Linked DNA regions of Drosophila melanogaster. The protein of the gene in region 2 interacts with the protein of the main gene of each other region in a pairwise test. Each region holds a gene or a part of one and is shown on either strand. Other genes may lie near its edges.

Region 1 (3,756 bases), on a different chromosome or scaffold from region 2:
GCTGTATATAATACACATACGTGTATATAGTCGACTAAGAAATTAAATTAATAGAAAATTTAGCAAATAACATACAAAATGAAAGACCAAGAAACTATTCACATTCCGACATCGCTTAATAAAATTTGTCTAGAAATTCAATATTTGCCGTACGCTCACACGTACACTTAGAAAAATGGCCCACCATACGCACTAGCACACATCAGAAGAAGAAAAGAGCAAATTAAGGAGAAAAAGAAAGAAAATAAGAATCTTATCAGCGGTAGAACAAAAACAAAGTTCAGTAAAAAAAACGAAACAAAAACAAAAAGAAAGCCACCAGAAGTCGAGAGCAACAACAAATTGGCTGTGTGTTTTTTCAAGGTTAAGAGCAAGTGCGTGTGCGTGAATTGGTGCCACTGTATGGGTGTCTCGCACATTTTGCACATTGTGCGTATAAATAAAAAACAGTAACAACAGTAAAACCACCAACACAGCAACAGGAAAAAATAATTTTTTTTATAGAGAGCCGAGAGCTACGCACCGAAAACGAGAAAAAAACATAGCGGCAACTTGGCGACTTATTCGCTCCAAGTTTATGGCAACACAATAAACTTAATAATTTCGCTGCAAACTGAACAATCATCATTATTTAGGCCTAATATGCAATTGTGCGTTATTTTCCATCTGATTTGGTCAACGACCCAGCGCAGGTGACACATTTTAAGGCTTATAATTGTATTATCGTTCCAAGTTCTAAGTGTAATCTCCTCCTCCCTCGTTTTCCCCTTACCGCCCTCTGGCCACCCACGCACACAATCGTATCCGCGGATTGCACGCACACACGGTTCGTATACGCATTCAAATTGCGTATACGCAGCGGTTACCCTCGAGTTTAATGACTGATAAGATTGGAAAGCGGGCATTTGCCTAACAGCATTAAGAAGAAATTATGAAGCGAATCTTCTAGAGACTTAATTTGTTTTAATTGTACCCTATTAAAGGCTCGCAGACCAACAAATATTTTATTGTCAACTTTAATTTCAAGTACTTAAAAAAAGGTATAGAAAATTTCATTGTTGATCCAACTCCTTGATAAGTACAATATAATTTGTAAAGAAGAAAAATTGCCTTCAAAAGATATCGAAACGTAGGACAGACTCAAAAATTAGTAAAACTTTTTGTTTCGCGAGACACATTAAATCGCCCGAAAACCGCTTGCTACTCCAAAAACGTCTCGAAACTTGTTGAATGACTTCTGGGTTGCCAGCCAAGACCTTAAATTTCTATCACCAAGTTGAAATTCGAGATCAGTCAAACTAAATAACCAACTTTTATTGGTTCGCTTTATTTATCAACGAAGATTACCAAAGTTCGTTGGGAACTGAATATGGATAACAAAATGTTGAGCCCTGTTACTGTTAGGGAACAGCAGGGGAAGTGATCTCGCTGTAAGCCCATAACATTTGTAATGCAATGTACGCAGAGATAACTTAACATTCATGTAATAGAAAGAGAGCAAGGGAGAGAGACTGCACTTAAAAAAATATAACTACTTATTACTATAATTCGTATTAAATAGTGTTTACACAAAAGAAGGCCAGGGATTTTTAATTTTAACGTAATCAATTATTTCTTAACTTACTTTATAAAATTTTAACTTTATCATCTAATTTTTTAATTTTTATCATTTTTCGATACTGCAGAGATATCTCTTACATGCCTTCTGAATGCAAGCCATAATTTGTTTGGTTTTTCATTCCTCGACTTAAAACATACACCTTAGGGCGATTTTTCTCGGTGCAAGCTCCATACGCACGTGTGGTGATCGTAGGCGGCGAGAATGAGTGTGGGGGGAGAGTGCGCGAGAGCGAGAGCGCGAGAGAACGGGAATGAATGAGCGGCGACTTTTGGAGCGCTGGCGCAAGCGTTTAGCTTTAACGGTCCGCGATCAGTTCAGTACGTTCAGATCAACGGGCGCCGTTGGATGTTTTCTTCAATGTTGAAGCGCGCCGAACTCGCGTTGTGTGGAAAAGCGGAATAGCTCTCTGTTTTTCGTCGTGTTTCTACGTTACTTTACTTTTCGTTCGATCTGTCCGTGTTTCGTTTCGGCTTTATAAATCGAGTAATTCCCCATCCAATAATTAACACGCGTGTTATCAAAAATGTTTACAAGAAACCTACATATGTTCAATAAGTAAGCCGAAAAAAAAAGGCAAAGAAATCATTTAAATTGCAAAAAAAGTGCTGACGATTTTTAATATCAAATTCGAAAAAGCAACAAAGAATTTTATTACCTTCCTTCGCTTTTTGGGTGCGTTGTTATTGCAATTACTGCATTTACCTTATATTATATGTTGTTCAAACACACTGAAATCGCTAAAAATGAAAACTGACGTTTTGCTCTGGCGCTTTGTTTCGCGCGGGCTAATTGACAAATATAACAAAATTCGCCAGGCGTCTCCACTTCTCTCTGATTCTCCCCAATTCTCACCGATATTCTGCGATTCCTTTTCATTATCTTTTTCTGTGCCGGTGGCAGTGCATATAGGAAATTGTCGGAAAAGTTCTCAAGCCAAAAAGCTGTGTAGAATCTGAGTTTTTGAGGAGATTCCTCGAAGTCGAGGCAAACATTTTCAAGTTTAAATAAATTATTAAAATTGCAGAACGTTTTTACGAATTAAGTGAAGCCTGAAATGAAGTGAATAGTTTCGGTGAGAGCTGGCGAGCATCTGATTCCAGTGAATAACAGAGATATCGCATGAATAACGCGTGAATAATTAGCACTGCAACTTGAATAAGCAACGAATTCCTAGTAACAATAAATTATAAATTGAATGCAATTCACTGGGATTGTGCAGCAAAAAGCAAACTGCTCATAATAATAAAATCATCACTTTGTTTCCGTGCTTGCCTGACTTTTTACCTTCCGACATCATTGTCGAAAATGTAAATAATTTTGTGTATTCATAATCATGTAATCTCTTAAATCTTAAAATTATATCACAACTTGTTTCACTTGGCTTACATATTAATTATATCTGTACTCTTCTCTGCTCTTACTATATTACAGTCGGCCACAACTCGGGAAAAGAAAAGAAAAAGGAGGCAAGCCAGACAAGCCAGGGAATTATGAAATTTTAAAGAAATCCCCAAAAAAGCCAAGTTCCCAGAGCCGCAAAATATGTTTAATGCATTAAAATAAACGAAACGAAACGAAACGTGTTTAAGGCGAGTGCAGGCAGAAGACGAGCAAAAAGTTGTATACGCATATACACATAGATATATTTAAACAAGATTTACATTTAAAATCCCCCCAATACACACGTACGTATATTTAAAACTGTGGCGGCAACACCAACAACATCCAGCTAAGCGTTCACAAAAAGGTGATAATGATTATTTCCAAGGATCTTTTCATATTTGGCGAACAAATTTTTGCAACAATCATACCAGAAGGTGGAGCCGCGGCGCTGGCAACCCAGCAGCAACATCAGCAGCAGCATCAGCAGCAGCATCAGCAGTCGCATCAGCAGCCGCATCAGCAGTCGCAGCAGCAGCAGCAGCAACAACAGCCGGCAATTATAAATTCAACAACGACGACGGCCACTTCGTTGGTAATAAACTCGACAGCAGGAGCAGCTGAACAAGTTGTAGAGGAGTCATTAAAAGTAGCAGCAGCAGCAGCAGCAGCAACAACAACAACAACAGCCGCAGCAGCAACAACACTACCAGCTAAACAGGAAACAGTTGCAGTTGCTGCCGCCTGTGTTGCTC
Region 2 (3,756 bases):
GAAAAAACAAAACATGATTCGATACACATGCTTATTGAAAAAAAAAAAAACATTTTATTTTCTTTGGTTTTGTGGTCATCCGAAAATAGTTGTGAGCTCGAGGTGTCCCATAATTAATTTTTAACCATTTTTAGGCCAATAATTAAAAATGCATTTATTACGACCGGATGGATGGTAGGCATCGATCGCAGGGGCATTTATCGCCCAATCGTTTCGATGTGATGGATTTGGGATACGGATTCGCAGGTGGATGTAGTTTGGGTTCGGATTCGGTTGCTAATGCTATGCATAGGAATGGACAAAGGTAGCCTATGTCAAAATCTCTCATGGTGTGAATTAATAAATTAAAATAAAATAGTTTTGTTACGCAAATCATAATTTGTGTACCGTCAACATTCACTTTTATGCTTTGACTAATCTGCGCACCGAGTGTTTTGCATTCAATAGATTTTGGCAACTTATTCATTTTGCATAAAATATGCAAAGTGCGGCAATAGTTGGCACCCATTAATCATGGTCGCATTTTATTTCCATTTAAAATTGTAATTTTCTCTTGTTGCTACTTTTGAACTAATGCATTTAGATCTATTAATTAATGACAAAGTAATTTTGGTTTCCCATTACAAACAGAAAACAACTTATCGTATATTTCTTTGACAGATCTTTGCATCTTTAATGGCCCAAAAAGGGAACATAGTTTCGGTTCCATTTCACTGTTTTTCATGGCTCACGAAATTGGCGTGAGAAAGTTGAAAACCATTTTTTTTTTTTTTTGGCATCGACCAGAAAACATGTGGGCTAACTCATTATCTGGTGGCCAAGTTGCCCTTGGCTGGTTTATTTTGATTTGTGGGCAGAATTTCACCCGGCTAATGAGATGCACCCTGTCGGATGCACAAGATTTTGAAATATATCTCAGGTGGCAAAGTGGCAAGTGTGTAAGTCCAAATTGGAAAGGAAGCAGCAAAGCTTGCTATCTCCGCTTCGATATTACACCATTTGCACATTCACTCCATTAGTATGGAGACCTGCCAATTAGCCCTATAAGGTCTATATCTGCTTGTATTCCGTATGCATCTGCTTGTTATGACAACTAATTTCCGCTGGAAGCTGGCATATCCATTTGATACGCTGTGCTTTCGATTTGATCGGGGGTTATTTACCTTCACTTTTTTAGTTTGAAATCCAATTCAAATTCAATACTATCATTTTGTCTCAATTTGGCACATTTAAAGCTGACAATATATCGCCCAACACTTACGCCCCATCGAATGGAGACAAAAACCTAGACCTTGGGCCAGACCAAAACTGATGCGAAATACTGAAGTCCCCGGCATATACAATTTTCAATTTCCATTTGATAGCTCAGGTTTCGAACAATAAAACAAAATAGAGACAATGGTCCCGTAGACAAAAGTGCATTTTAAGTCGGTCGAGTAACCTCGTCCGCCTATCTTCGTCATCAATATTTACATATTACTCTGGGACATTCAACTGATCTGCAAAAACTACGAAGCTAAACAAAACTTTTGTATTAATTTAAACGACGATTTGATTGTCCACTTGGCAGCCATGGATATGCTTGGGTATTTTAATTATATTTACAATTAAATGATTAAGTAGTTTCTCAATAAATGTTTTTACTGCCTGTATGAAAAAATCTAAATATAAATCTATAATCAAATTCAATGAATTAATTGCAATATTGAGATTGAAGTTAGTATAGTTACTAGGGATCTGATGAATGAATAGTTATTTGAATTTTGTTTATATTCTGAAATCGTATTAGATACTTGCTTGGAGTGAACGCACACTTAATATATATTATATTTATAAGGCAAATGTTCAAAATGATATAGTTACAGCTCGACTAACTTGTTTACAACAAATGCAGATTTTTTTTTGTCGTATCTGTATCACCCATTGTTGGGGCTTCCTCTCGCTCGACTTTTGTGGAACCCCATGTAAAGTCGATACAAAAGCCCACTTGCCACCCAGCCAAATGAATCCGAACAACCTCTTCGCCACGCATAACAAATGTTTTATGACCCCTCGACTGTTGCAACTGTGTTGGCTGCTGTTTCACGATTTGTTTCCGATTATAAACAAGTTGGGCCCGTGGATTGGTATAAAAGGCCAGGTGCCCGGTTGACCCATCATCACAGCACTAAGAAACTCGGACAGCGAGGGAGCATCCGGCTTAAGACAGCTAACCAGCAGAGAGACACCCACCCAAGCGGCAGCATGAAGATATTTGTGGTGCGTTGGAACTTGGACTACCTCTATGCCAATTGGATTACAAGGGATTATAATGATTGCTTCTCTTTCAGACGGTTCTGATGGGCGCCATGTGCCTGAGCCTCAGCCAGGCTGACATCAGCTTGACCCAGGCGGGTTACAACTACCGCATCCAACAGCAGCAGCAGCAACAGCAACCGCCCATTGTGGCCCACCTGTTGAACCAGCAACTGCAGCAGCAGCAGCAGCTCCAGCCCCAGCAATCCTCGCACCCGGTGCTTCCACCTCTCCCACTGCCCTACCTCCCGCCCGCTGGCCAGTTCCATTCTGCCCAGCCTGCAGTTCGTCCCACAGCCGGATCGTTTCCCATGCCCGCCGGCTTCCCCGTCAATTTCCAGACCGCTCCCATCCAGCAGCAGCGACGCGCTCGTCCGCGTGTCAGGATTCCCAAGCGTCCCATTGTGACCAAAAACTTTTTCATCCACTCGGCGCCCGAGGAGTCTGAGGATGAGGTCCAGGACGAGCTGAACCAGTTGGCCCAGCAGCCCCGTAACCACTACAATGTGCTGTTCGTCAAGACGCCGGCTCAGACCAATCGCGCGGCGGCTCTTAACTTGGCCAAGACCCTTAAGCAGGAGAAGACCGTGGTCTATGTGCTGGCCAAGAAGACGACCGCCTCCGATCTGCAGGATGCCATTGCCGAGGCGCCACAGCACATCAATAAGCCGGAGGTGTTCTTCATCAAGTACCGCACTCCAGAGGAAGCTCTGAATGCCCAGCGGCAGATTCAGTCACAGTACGATACTTTGGGAGGAAGTTCGACCATCACCGACGAGGGTGTGGCCCCCATCACCTCGGTGGTGGGATCCCTGGATCCTCCAGAGGAGGAGGAGGAGGAACAGCAACAGCAGCAACATTCAGAGGGACAATTTGCGGAGAACGGTGCCGGAAACTCTGGCGTCGGTCCCATCGGCAATCATTATTTGCCCGCGAACCAGTTCTAAGTATTCTTCATTGCTCGTCACATCCAGATCTAGTTAGCTGTCATCAACACCACTTAGGTTTAAGTGCTTGCCAATGTTACCCAAATCCGTATTAAAATATAATTGTTAAAAAAAAAACCATTGAATTTTAACTAGATGACGATTTTAAGAAGTGATTAATAGTACTTTAATAAGTCCCACTAAATGGGAATGAATTTAGCTTTCCAAACTGAACGAACGTATTATTGGAATAAGAGGAATTTTTTTGGATCCAAAGTATGTTCTAGGAAAACACATTCAATACTTGCACTTAAGCTCTGGCGGCTTGTCTTTTGAAGCTGGACATGTTTCAAGTACATCCTTCATTTCAGCAAAGGACTGCGCAAGCGCCTTGGCGATCTTTTGGTGATCAGTTGCCTGACAATGTCGCCATGCGGATATGGCCAAAATGATGTCATGTTCACGGGGATTGTAGCAACAGGCATATCCATCTTCTACAGAAGGTCCATATCCCATGAAGGCATCATATTTGGTG

The links. Proteins that work in one complex are often made in the same cells at the same time.
Region 1: the proteins of TwdlW (region 2) and E23 interact in a two-hybrid assay, tested with the Drosophila melanogaster proteins (one large-scale study listed by BioGRID).

Annotation. Positions count from the first base shown.
Region 1 is NT_033779.5:3,353,011-3,356,766, reverse strand, and holds the start of E23 (early gene at 23), read left to right. Parts: upstream 1-1,937; 5' UTR 1,938-2,293; exon of another isoform or gene 2,294-2,928; intron 2,929-3,052; 5' UTR 3,053-3,374; coding exon 3,375-3,756.
Region 2 is NT_033777.3:17,140,801-17,144,556, reverse strand, and holds TwdlW (TweedleW), read left to right. Parts: upstream 1-2,152; 5' UTR 2,153-2,244; coding exon 2,245-2,259; intron 2,260-2,330; coding exon 2,331-3,242; 3' UTR 3,243-3,349; downstream 3,350-3,756. Other genes in the region: CG5265 (uncharacterized protein), read right to left, coding at 3,519-3,756.